Linked DNA regions of Schizosaccharomyces pombe. The protein of the gene in region 2 purifies or fractionates together with the protein of the main gene of each other region. This does not show direct contact. Each region holds a gene or a part of one and is shown on either strand. Other genes may lie near its edges.

Region 1 (6,765 bases), on a different chromosome or scaffold from region 2:
AAACTTCGTCCGTATTTTACGGTATTATTTGTTTTCGTTACTTGCTAGTCTCCGCCATTTGTACCCTGCAAATCTCAAATACGTTTTCATTATGCCTGACTCACCTACCCTTCACCATAACCATATTATTGGGCTTGAGAACGGGTCTCTAACCTCTAACAATAATCATCAAGGCATGGCATCTGTTTCGGTAGGACAATTTCAGTATCCCATCTGGTGAGTTTGTCGATATTATGCCTCCGCTAAGCTATTTAACTGTTTTCCATGTTTGCCATAGCTTTGCTCACTAATGTGCCTACATAGTGATGCGTACGTGAATTTCTCTTCTAGAAGATGCTTGCTTTTTTTCCACACAAATCAATCAGTATATATTTTTCGTTTATCCTTGTTCAATGCCTTTCTACTTCCGGCGCTGTTTATTTTGAATTTTCTGAAATTTTGACTGTAGACCAGCCACTTTCTGTTTTGAGTTTTCTTTGTTTTTGACACTCTCCTACCAGCATACCGGTCTTTGTTGTCGTCCTTTCTTTGCTTACCGTTGTTACACTGTCGCTCGCTATATCGTTCCGTTCAGCATCCTCTGTTAGATATTCAATTGATAAAAAGCGGATCGGTATTTCTAGTTTTCGTTGTTGTTTTTTATCATTCCGTTGTTTATTAAGATCTCCACCATGTGGATGCTTAACGGTTCGTAAAGCGAGCTCTTAGCCAATCATTTTCGCTGACGGCCCGATAGACTCGGCAGAGTAGGTGGAATCAACAAGGGTGAAAATTTCGTTAGGTTTACTGAAATTTTTTTCATCCAAAACTTTTTCATCTCAAGTTAAACTCTGTGACTTTTTAGCTGATGTTGGATTGCTGGTATTACTGATTGATTGTGGAATGTTCATCTCTGGGGTGTGTCTTTTTTTGAGGCACATCATGTGTTACTTTTGTGTGTAGTCGTTAAGTACTACCAAACATGAAAGCAAGCGTCTGAAAGAACAATAGAAATTTCACTAGTTTTAATGCGATTGAGAGGCTTTCATGTTGATTTTTACTAACAATTTTTAGGTCATGGTTAAATTCCCTGGCAGATGCCACATTCGGAAAGCGGCCATCTTCCTTTGAATTTATCGTAAACAAAACCCGCTTTTCGTCCGCCCCGGTCGTTGCAACCATCATCATATCTTACTATCTTTTAATTCTTGTCGGAGGTAGAATTATGCGTAATAGGCAACCTATCCGTCTTCAAAAGATTTTCCAATATTATAATTTGACTTTTTCCATCGCTTCAGCTATCCTTGCACTTTTGATTTTTGAACAAGTAGCCCCTGCTATTTACAAGCACGGTTTTTTCTTTTCTATCTGCAATGAGAAAGCATGGACTCAACCGCTGGTATTTTTATACTACTGTGCTTATATTTCAAAATTCGTACGTCTCCATCGTTTTTTGACCATACTTTTTTCATTCTAACATACGTTTTAGCTTGAATTGACAGATACTTTTTTCCTTGTCCTCCGCAAAAAACCCCTTCAATTCCTTCATTGCTACCATCATGGTGCCACTGCCGTTCTTGTATATACTCAAATTGTTGGCAGAACTTCCATCAGTTGGTTGATCATTGAAATCAATTTATTGGTTCATGTTACTATGTATTATTACTACTATCTTGTAGCCAAAGGTATTCGGGTTCCTTGGAAGAAATGGGTCACCCGCTTTCAGATCGTTCAGTTCTTTGCTGATTTAGGTTTTATTTATTTCGCAGTATACACGGAGGTTGCGTATCGGTTGAAGTTTTACAAAGCCTGTATGGGCCATTGCTCAGGACATCCTTTAGCGGCGTTCTGTGGTCTCGCAACAATCTCTTCATACCTTGTTTTGTTTATCGTCTTTTACCATAACACTTACAAGAAAAATGCTGCTCTCAAAATGAAAGCTAAGGCTGCAGCTGCAACAAAAGGTAACTCATCAGAATCTTCTAAAAATGCGGACTTAAAGCGTCTCTCAAAAAGTAACGCTTCTATTGCCGAGGTTAAATGCAATAATATAGTTACTAATCTGTATCCTATTTCTTCAGGTTTAAACAATGAAAAATAATGTTTTCGTGGTACCTCTTATGGTTTTTAATTACCCGATTTTGCTCTTACTTATAACTTGATATTGAGCCCTAAAGTCTACAAGTGCCTTTTTTTTCTTTGTTCTGCTTAACGTTGCATTTAGAATTACCAATTAATAGTTGGAGTGACTTACGGGCGACGATTTTGTGAATTTTGAAAGTACTTAATTGTCCGTTAGCTTTACATCCTTGTCTATATTCGATTACTACCTTTTATCCAGTGAATCCTTTTTCCCATTCCTTAATCAAGATTTATCGACGTCTTTACATGTTCTAAACTTTTTAGCTAAACCTCTACTAAGTATAGATTTGTTAACTTCGTGGTATCTTAAGGTCAAACTTGATGGTGTGATAATATAATTAAAAAAATCAGAGCCAAAATCTTTTCTTCAATATAATGTTCTGAATCTTTTTTTCCAAAGATTAAAAGTCCATTTGTTTAATATTTTATATTAAAAAACCATGGTAATACTAATGCACAACTTATGAAAAATGGGTATAAATTAGTAAGAAAATATACGTTCTAATAACAGTACTACAGTTGTGTAAGGTTGGTAAATTTCTCTGTATAACTTGTAGTCATTGCAAGTGAGCATACGGAATTCATTATTTATTTTGAAGTTTTCTTACTATTTCAGTTAGGGAGCGGCGCCGGTTAATCTAATAACAGTAAATACGTTTAAAACAAAATATATTAGTTTTTTTTTTATTACTATTATAAATGACTTACACAGCTTAACGGCAAATAATGATTAACCCCCTTCAGTCATAAATTGACTCAACTCATTTCTCTCATGTCAAACAAAAATTTTCCTTCATTCGCGATAGTATACGAAATATACACTCCTTAATCGGCATTTTAGCAATATCAGCACATAATAAAGAACATATGAGAATACAGGCAAAGCTTAATAAATGTTTTATCAAGAACTGTAAATGACAATGTCTCGTGCGGATCAAATCCTACAGCATCTCTTAAGGGAACTAATACATAATGATTCATTAGTTGCTAGTGAATGGTTAAAACATTCAAAGAAAATCATTCAAAATGTCCCTAGTTCGACATTGGTATTTCATGAAATGATAGAACATATAAAAGGGTAACGTAAAGCAGATCTGCCGATTGTTGTTGGAATGTTAAGACTAACTTGATCTAGCATCTGTGACAAAATGGGTATACAAGGTCGGGAAGATTTAGAAATGCCTTTACGAAACGCTTGTGAAGTTCTCAATCGTCAAACCGTTAGTGTCAAGCAAAGTATATTGCATGCCCAAATATTAAAACTTTTCCTTGAATTATCTAAACCACCCTCAGATATACATGTCCCACAAATTCCCGTCTACAAAGATTGCAACAAGAATGAACAAGAAGCTATAATCCAGTTATTAACTAGTTGTGAAGGAGACCACTGGTTGATGCCTGACTGGTCTTCAATGCCTGATGATGAAACCATAACAGAAGACTCTGAGGAAGAAACTTTCAATGGAAATGCTAATGAAATTACGATACCAGCCAACATCCACATCCCTATCATCGAGGAGTCTGACAACGCGTCTAACAATAAGCTATGTACTTTATTTAAAAAAAGCAAGCAACCGAATTTAGATTTTTTACAGATAAAACCCTTTATGTTTTGGGATTCTAGTTTGAACGAAACTGTCCGAATATCTGAAAGAAGTATTATTCGCGACTCTATATATATGTTGATAGGTTATCCAAGTTTTTTCTTCTTAAAAAATGGTTCAAAAATTGAAACACGACTTTCTTTATTACCAAAGCTTCATCACATGAGCGAAGAGATTCTTCGCAGTATAATGACAGAACTTGCCGATTACGGTTCTAACTTGGAATTTTTTCGACAAAAACTAACATCTCCTAGCGATTCGTTTTTTAAAAGTGATGACCAAAGTACCAAGAATGAGCCGTTTCTCTCTGTTGTCTTCATTTATCCTCAAATAAAACCACATCTCTTAAGTTGTTTAAAAAACACACACCAAGAGCTTATTAAACTCGAAACAGAAGTTTATAACGCTACAAAGAACTGTACTCTTTTTCAATTTTTTCAACATGTAAAAAAATTCGTTGATCCACTATTGTGCTTTCGTTTCGCTTACGAAAAATCAGCAACGAATATGTGGGATTTTGTTAAAACATTGGAGTTCATATATTCAACAAGGAATTACTCTTCACAAATGTTCAAGCTCTATAAAGCTTCTGCTATTGCAATGTTATTGTGGATGGTTAATCAAGCCTCACAAATTACCAGTTCTATGACTATAGCCAGGCCTCTATATAACATTTTAATCCTTTGTAAGGATTTTCCTAACAATTTCCTTGAGAAAGACAATATTGCTCTCCAATTGGGTAGTATTGTTTTTGACCAATCTCCAACTCTAAACAATTTACTTGTGGAAATGGAAATATTAATTAGAAGCAAAATTTTAAAGCTTGGTAAATCTTTGGATTTATCTTTTGACTTTCAAAGTTTAATGGGGGAGTTTGAAAATTTAATAAAACAACAAGAAGAAGCTAAAAAGTCGTTATGGTCAAAAAGATTTAGTCGTTTCTATTATGGGCATTATGTATTCGTCAACACCTGTCATAATTTTTTCCTAACACTATATCAATCTTTTACTGAAGTTGATGAAAATTCTATATTCAACGGCGTTTTTGAAACGCTTAATAATGATGTTGATGATGAATCTGTAATAGGGGAAAAAGAGAAACTTATTTTAAAGCAAAAGCAGAAATGTTTATCTGAATTTTTTGTTGATGACATAAAGAAGCTCTTAAATGAAGAGCTGCTCAATTGTCAAAAGCAAGAGCTACCAGATGTCATGGAAAATACATATCAAATTTCGACCGTTTCAGGAATTAAAAATGATCCGTTATTTACGTTGGACCAAACCTGTAATATAATAGCGAAACTAGCGGACAATCTCATACATCCTTCTGTTCCCATTGGTAGTTCTGCCTATCGATGTAGACGAAATTTGGCTGACTTATTATTCCTTATAATGCCATGATTACGATAAAATGCCATAATATTTACCATTACGTGTATAGAATCAATAGATTTCATAAAAGTAACCTTTTGGATGAGTAAAACCATACTGACTTACATGCGATTTCTCTAGTTTCATGTCGTTTACTAACGAATGATATTTGAAAAAGACCTATATCTATTAAAAAAAATGATAGTGTGCTTTAATGAAGGTAGAAAATCATTAGTCATATTTATTTGCTTTGGGTGTTGCTGATAGTTTGCATCACCCATAACAAACACGAGTCCTTTTGAAGAGGCTCTTTAACTTCTTCTTATTCATTCGTAAATCCAAGGTTCAATTGTACGATCGTAAACTTGGATTTCCGAAGGCTGGAACCAAAGTTTAATTTCACGATTAGCGCTTTCTATGGAATCAGAACCATGGCAAACGTTTCTACCAAGGTCGATACCATAATCACCGCGAATAGTGCCAGGGGCAGAATCCAGAGGGTTACTGGCGCCCAACATTAAGCGACCAGTTTTCACGGCTTGTTTACCTTCCCATATCATGGCACATACAGGGCCTGATGCCATGAAACCAACGAGTTTCTCATAAAAAGGCTTTCCTTTATGTTCGGCATAATGTTCTTCCACAAGATCACGACTAGGAACTAAAAATTTTAGAGCACGTAGTTTGTAGCCCTTCAACTCAAATTTTGAGATGATGTATCCAATCAGTCCTCGCTGAACTGCGTCCGGTTTCACAGCGATAAAAGTTTGTTCTGTCGACATATCAAAAATGCTTATACTCGGTGATATGAGGTGGTTGAGTAGATGGGAGCTGTCCCGTCTACTATCCCATATAAAGGATTACGGAGCAAGGACAAATAACACTCACAATATGATTGCATAAACAAAGCGGAAACAGATGTAAATAATAAAAAATGATAAGAATCGTTATAGTACACCTTCTTATATTTTTAGAGCACCAAGCCTCAGATATCTTAATGGTCGTAAATTATTGTTTACAAAAAATGCATATTTACAAACACATTACAAAGCATTCAAAGCGTACCCGTAGACGGTAAGCCAGTTTTGTTTTTTTACATACGTAAAAACTCTCCACAAATCAAAAGATTGTAAGGCTTATTGTATACTATATAATGGATTTGTTATTATCCCAATCGCCAACTTCTTACTGTTTTAGGACCATGTAACGAATGAAACCACTAATAAAAGTTAGAAGAACTTGTAATTGATACCAACTTAGTATTGGGATACCTGCAAAATTTGATTATCAACCAGTTGATAATAGATACAATTCCAAGTACATCTACATCACTTCATGCAAACGGTTTTTTCCGTACATATATTAGTTATCCCTATACATATAATTGTTAACATTGTCTTGATATACGAATAAGGCTTTTATGATTATTCCTAGAGTTTTATCCTTGTTTGCGAATTTATGTATATTCGTAATGGCATATACTCGAAAATCCGGGATTTAGATAAGCTTAAATCATTATATGTCTATCTAATGAGCATGACAGCCGTCTCACAATTTTACTCATAAACGGACGAGGGATAAGTTGTTTTTCTTAACAATTCAGTTGTAGTATCATCACTTTTTATTTACATTCTTTTCGAGCGCTGTTTATCTGCACATTAAGTCACCA
Region 2 (6,989 bases):
GGGAACATCAAAAATGCTACAGTATGGCCTAAACGTATAGCAAAATAAGTAGCAGATGCGTCTTCAGGAGCTTCAATAATGGTTCGAATGGCTTTAGCAAGTACAGGAACCATGAAATGATCAGAAATAATGACCAAAAGAAAGATACAACCAAACGTTCCCAAAGCGCATTCAATCAAATAATGAATTCGCACATGGGCGGTTCTTGGGTAGTATAATTGATAACATAAGCTGGGCATGAAAAGGAAATCCAAAGCATTTGGTATGGTTAAATTTTCCGGATAAGTATTACCATGATGGTTGAGACAATGTTCATAAAACTCAACTGAGGATCGTTCATCATCATCAAGATCGGTTTTTTTTGACTGAAGCTTATTTAACGAATGATAACAATAAGAATACCAACCGTTGACAACGTTATAGGAATGAAGCTTCATAAGGATTACCATAGAATGAAGAATAAACATAGCACGATGCGTCCAGGACCAGTTGCTAAGACAGCAGCGTAAAACACAATGGCTTAAAAAAAGTAAAATAAGAATGGAATAGAGGTAAACGCCTAAACCATACCACCGCAGATATCCCAAAGCAAAAATCTTTTGGAAAGGAAAAGCAAGTAGAAACATTGAAGACATAGCAAGGTCTGCCTTTGCCAGATCTAACAAATTAGACTGAAAGTATTTAAAAATAGTGCCAACAACTGGTCTTCCAGTCAATTCGAAATTTTCTAAAAAGCTCATGAAAATCATAATAGAGACAGCAACCCAAAATAACACAAAAAATCCAGTAAAGTCTACCGCATTACGTTGATAATTACGAGCAAAAATCGAGGGAGTAGGAGATAATTCCAGAGGTCGGTAAGCGGCCCTAGACCTTCGAAGGTCAATTTTTGAGGTTTCAGAAACACCTTTGAACGTCTGTTCCAAGTTGACATCCGATGGTTTGGATTTAGCGGGTGTTGCAGCAATCATCTTTAAATAACCAGCAATTAAAGCAACTAAGTGAATATATAACAAAAAAGATAAATATATAAAGAAAAAGATAAAACAAAAAAATAACGTAAAATCAGCAGCTACGTATCGCGAACAGTATCAAAGAAATTGAAAAAGAAGCGGATATGAACGTAGGAAGATTAAATTTATTTTTTGCTTCGCTTCTAAATAAAAAATTGAGGAATGAAAGCAAGAAACTTAGAAATGTAATCTATTGATGGAAGTTCCAACTTGGAATTTCAAGATGACAGAACTGGTATGACGAAAACTCCACAGTCGTGATTCCAAAAATAAAAATTCTATGCCAAATGTTCCACTATAGAATGGAAGTAAATAAAAAGCTCGAACTCCTAAGCAATTCACGTTCTATGCGATTTATGTAAGGAAAAGCCAAGTCTCCAGTTTCAAAATGAGCAAAGGAGTTGATAAGTTAGAATTGCGAGCTAAGACGATGAACCACCTGATCTCAGCAATATCTGCAATACTACACCACGTTATGTAAAATTTCGTTACGTATCACTATATATCACATGTCCTATTCATTTATCCGCTATATGTGATACGACATTGGCACTTGCTTATTGTAGCTTATTACCAAATGACTGACAGGTACAAACAAAAAAGAATGCTCAATCGAACCTTTTTCCCTTAGTTTACATATTATGAGCATTTCAATAATAATTTACAATAACACCTTAATACCCGATTTTCGCGTTACCTGCATATCGCAATATAGTAGTGCACAAATACAACTCACTGTGATTTAACGTGCCATTAAAACTGGTTACAAACTGCATAGTTAAGAAGCAAAGCCACATAGCGTGGTCAAGAACGAATAGAGAAACATAAATTCCAGATATTGCCCATCAATTAACAACTCCATATAGCAAATTCGATAGGATAATTCAAAAATTACACAGATAACCAAAGGAAGCTAGGTATTCTTTTAATTTGTGCAGTATTGGTGAATGCATCAGTTTTGAGCGTCGTTTAAAGCTGCATCCTATTTTGTTAAGTGAAATTGATTTGATTTTCATTGTTTTATATATTCTGTGTTTAGATTGCGTTTTTCTGTTTGCTTTCAATACATCTCATAGAAATGCAAGTTAATATTTACTGGAATCAATTATAGTAGGAACGTAAAATATCTCAGTGAATATTGGTACGGATGGAAAGATAACTTTAGTATTGCACATGGATTTTATTAAGAACCTCTAATAAGGGAATGTGTATTAAACGTAATATGATTACTGAAAAGCACAAAAACCATACCTAAAAAATATTCAACTCTTAGCCATAGTACACCTTCTTAAATGTACTTGCAATAAGTGGTAACATAATATTAAGTTAATCAATATAAATGGTATTTACATCTGCTTAATAAAAACTAGGAATTATAAAAAAAGACACTTCAGCTGACTTAACGTAACACAGCAGCAACAAAACAAATTAAAATTTATTTTATTTAAAGCATATTTTTTAGTATTCATTATTGATAGATTGACGAAAGAGTCGCAACGTTAAATTCGTTTTAAAGAAATTTACCGTGCAATACCCTACCGCATGTACAAGCAACAGCCAAGTAATGCAAACAACACATCCAAAGAACCTGCATCTTACTTGTTCGGGAGTGGAAAGAGGTTTCACCAATTCCCCAAAGACGCATCCAAAGATGTCAAGTTTAAAATCTTTTATAAAGGCTGTTCGGGCATCCAAAACGACTGCTGAGGAGCACACAACGATTCTCAAAGAGTCGGCTCAAATCAGAAAAAACATTCGTCAAGGTTCTAATGACATGCGTATGCGCAGAAAAAATGTTGCCAAGCTGCTATATTTATTTCTACTCGGTGAGCCGACACACTTTGGTCAGATTGAATGTTTAAAATTGTTGTCGAGTTCGCGATTCATGGATAAACGTTTGGGATACCTAGCAGCTATGCTTCTGTTAGACGAGAACCAGGAAGTTTTGACGTTATTGACAAATTCTCTTCAAAATGACTTGAAATCTAGAGACAAATTTATTGTGGGGTTGGCATTATCTGCGTTTGGTAATGTCGCTGGCCCTGAGCTTGCAAGGGATTTGTCAAACGACATAGCCGAACTTTGCTCTAACCATCATAATTATATATCAAAGAAGGCTGTTCTCTGTGCACTTAGAGTAATTCAAAAAGAACCGGATTTGGAAAGTTTATATATTGAGAAAACCGATGAATTGTTACATTCAAAAAGTCATGGTGTTTTAATGGCTGCTCTTGCTTTTGCCATCAGTGCTTGCAAAATAAATCCGTCGCTAATATCCCGATTTGAAAGTCAAGCTGACGATTTGATTTATCGTATTCGTCAATTGTCCACTAGTACTTACTCCTCTGAGCATAACATTGGCAATATATCTGATCCGTTTTTGCAAGTTAAAATCCTTCAGTTTTTGTCAATACTTGGTCAAAATAACCCTAAAATTTACGACAAAATGAGTGATCTTTTAGCTCAAGTCTGTACTAACACTGATTCCTCTAGAAATGCAGGTAATGCTATTCTTTATCAAGCTGTGCGTACCATCCTTGATCTTAATTCTGACAGTAGCCTTCGAGTTTTGGGGGTCAATATTTTAGCAAAGTTTTTAGGTAATCGTGACAATAACACTCGTTATGTTGCTCTTAATATGCTGAAACTCGTTGTAAATAGTGAAGAAAATGCAGTTCAGCGTCACCGATCAACTATCCTTGCTTGTCTTAATGATGTCGACAGTTCTATTCAATCTCGTGCGCTTGAACTTTCTACATTTCTCGTTAATGAGGCGAACGTTCGTTTCATGGTGCGTGAGCTTTTATCATTTCTTGATAACGTTTCTGATGAATTACGTGGATCCACTGCTCAATATATTACAGAAGTCACAAATGCTTTTGCTCCCAATAAGCGATGGCATTTCGATACCCTTCTACGAGTCTTCAAATCTGCTGGCAACTTTGTCAGTGAATCGACTCTTTCAACGTTTTTACGACTCATAGCTAGTGCTCCTGAACTTCATGAATATGCTGTGGTAAAGTTGTACGCTGCTTTAAAGGAAGATGTATCTCAGGAAGCTTTAACTCTTTCTGCTTTTTGGGTAATTGGAGAATATGGTCAGATGCTTCTTTCACCAACAATGAATTTTGATGATGATCAAACCCTTCCTCATTCTGTTTCAGAATCTGATATTGTGGACATTATTGAGGAAGTATTTAATAGCGTTGAAGCATCTAGGTACATAATTGTTCAATATGGTCTTTTCGCTCTCACGAAGTTAAGTGCTCGTCTAGGTTCTTCTTCTACTGCTTCTCGTATTGACAAGATAATTTATTCCTATAAGAGAAACAAGAACACCGAGGTGCAACAAAGATCTGTCGAGTTCCACCTTATATTAAATGACTCCAAATTGAGCAAGACAATTCTAGAACCAACTCCCGCTCCTCTGCCTCCTCCTAGGACCACGCCTTATCAAAATGCGGAGCAAAAGCTAAAGGCTAACAAACACGTAGAAAAACGTGTTCAGGAAAGCAACGAATTGCTAGACCTCATTGGGTTAACTACCCCTTCTGTTGCTGAGCCCTTAGAAACACCAGTGGATGAAATGACTCAAAGCCCTCAATCCAGCTTAAGCCGCGCTCCTTCTACTTCCAAAAAGAGTCATTTTGAAGATATCCTTGGTTTATTTGCTTCTCCGGCGCCTTCAGCTCAACCGGTTGACAGCTTGGCAAGCAGCTTTGCTTCTTTGGACTTTAATGCTTCAGCCAGCCAACCATCAAACAACTTGTCTTTGCTTTCTTCCATACCATCAACTTCCAAATCATACCCTCCTATTGTTGTATTTGATAAACACGATGTGACGTTAACTTTGGTGCCATCCAAAGAAGAAAGTACCAAAACAGCCGTCATTGAAGCTAAATTTAAAAATAAAAATCCAATGACTAGGGTTGAGAAAATACATCTAGAAGTGGCAGTTCCCAAATCACAGAAACTGAAAATTCAGCCCTTGAGGACTACAAGTATGGAGCCTGGTGGAGAAACTTCTCAAACCCTGCGGGTTCATGGGCCATCGGGTTCTCAAGTCAAACTGCGTCTACGTATCTCTGTGGTCCGACAAGGTGGATCAAATACTCTCGATCAGGTAGATTTTGGAAAGTTGCCATCTGACCTTTTACAATAGTATCCGAAGTATGGACAATGCCATTTAAAATATAACGCTCGAGCTATCAAAGAAGATTTCTGACATGATCCATGCTACACTTTTTGATGGGTCTAGTCAGTTTTACGAGAAAATGTTCGTAGAATAGTGAATAATGAGGTAATAGAAAATGAAAGCTCTAATTGTTTTTATGAAAGAAAATAGGTTTTTTTTTATATAATTTTAGCAATTTTCTCGATATGGAATCATGGTATACTTATTGGATAAGTTCACTTATGTAATTTTCAAATTGAGACTTGCTCATTCTTTATTGTATATCATTGAACGGAAATTTGACCTTCCAAACCCTTCATTAAGAAGTGGTCGGATTTAGAATTAAAGCTGTAATATTATTTTAATAGAAGTGCATACCTCCAATACAATCGCAACTAGAAAAGTATAAAATGTAAAATCCTAAACTTATTTCCTTTAACAATTGATCAATGCAATAATTAAGCCTATGAATTATATATTAACTAACAGAGAGTAAATCCAACATTAGAAAGCATTAGTCTTGCTTTAAGCTTTTTCAGTACTATGCGCACGTTCAGAAATTAACTGTTGTATATAAAATGCTATTGCATTTTGATTTTGTGTTTCCAGAGACCGCATTCGCTCTTTTAAATCTCTTTCTAAATCCCATGTAGGCTTTTTAGGTCGCAAAGTTACCAAATCTAGTTCTTCAACAGGAACAGAACTTTGTTCTTCAATTTTTCTCTTAGTCTTTTCTTCAATCTCCTTCGATAATGCTTCAACTGATTCAATCATGTTTGGCGGTTCCACGAATCCCATTTTAGGTGCCTGCACTTCTGGATCATAATTTCGATGCTCAATTACATTTTTTTGAACCTCTTGAGAATCGCGAGTTTTATTCTCTAACTGCTTTATTTTCCTCAATTCCGCTAATCTCTGTTTTCTGGACTCTGCTACCTCATCTAATGAAGACATTTTTTGTTCCAATACAAAAACACAAAATTCGGAAAAACCACACTATAAAACCAGAATGAATGTAGTAAGATACTTTTTTTGTAGTAAGTAATAAGATTAATATCGAGAGATGTTAAAATTCCTAGAATTAACTAGAGTTTGACAATGCACAATAATTCCAGTTCCTAATCAGCAGTATCAAAAAACAAAAACAAAAATTGAGTGTGTAATTTTATATTAACCTAATAGCGACGAACTACCAGATCGTTTTACTTTCTAGTTATTTTTGATAAATGCAGAATATGTATATGAATATTGAGAAGTTAGGAAAATGCAAACCAAGCTCGTTGTTGTCATCTACGCAGTTTGGTATCTGTTTTACGGATACGTAAAACTGCAGTGAGTTTTCCTTGTGACATATTATATTGCAATATGCAGGTAATATAAACAGTAACGTACAATAGTATTATACCATATATGCTGTATTGTTACCTATCACTAATATAGCTTATAACTAAACTTCGTTCCTCAGTTCAGCTAAAGCTCTATTTTTTTGTTTCTAAATAGTTGCTATTCACGGGAATCCATGCATGTAGAAGGATACTTACCCCTAATTATCAATAAACGAATCTTAAAAGATATGTCAGCATATGACATATAATGAGGCGTAATGTAGTACATTATGGCGTAGTGTAATCGTTGATAATTTTTTATTTTTAACGTGTTGTCGCTGAAAATCGATAGTAAAACTTAAGGCAGCAGAGCTTGTCATTCAATAAGTCTGGTTCGCATCGTATACCGGTGCAGCACACATGCAAAAAATTAACTTGCTATTTGCCTATATCAATCAATGCCTCAAAACGAGTATA

What was found.
Region 1: the proteins of apl4 (region 2) and mod21 purify together in Schizosaccharomyces pombe (affinity purification with western blotting, with the first as the bait; one study listed by BioGRID). This does not show direct contact.

What each region holds. Positions count from the first base shown.
Region 1 is NC_003424.3:247,041-253,805, reverse strand, and holds mod21 (gamma tubulin complex GCP5 subunit Mod21), read left to right. Parts: upstream 1-2,879; 5' UTR 2,880-3,035; coding exon 3,036-3,199; exon of another isoform or gene 3,200-3,256; coding exon 3,257-5,126; 3' UTR 5,127-5,227; downstream 5,228-6,765. Other genes in the region: fatty acid elongase Elo1, read left to right, coding at 92-216, 1,054-1,414, 1,469-2,080; nucleoside diphosphate kinase Ndk1, read right to left, coding at 5,423-5,878. UniProt on the Schizosaccharomyces pombe protein: Component of the gamma-tubulin complex that is required for the regulation of both interphase microtubule organization and nucleation, and mitotic bipolar spindles. Required for correct septation.
Region 2 is NC_003421.2:2,399,403-2,406,391, forward strand, and holds apl4 (AP-1 adaptor complex gamma subunit Apl4), read left to right. Parts: upstream 1-2,594; 5' UTR 2,595-2,664; coding exon 2,665-5,175; 3' UTR 5,176-5,401; downstream 5,402-6,989. Other genes in the region: acyl-coA-sterol acyltransferase Are2, read right to left, coding at 1-971; protein Cwf18, read right to left, coding at 5,713-6,141; ribosome biogenesis protein nsa2, read left to right, coding at 6,971-6,989. UniProt on the Schizosaccharomyces pombe protein: Adaptins are components of the adaptor complexes which link clathrin to receptors in coated vesicles. Clathrin-associated protein complexes are believed to interact with the cytoplasmic tails of membrane proteins, leading to their selection and concentration.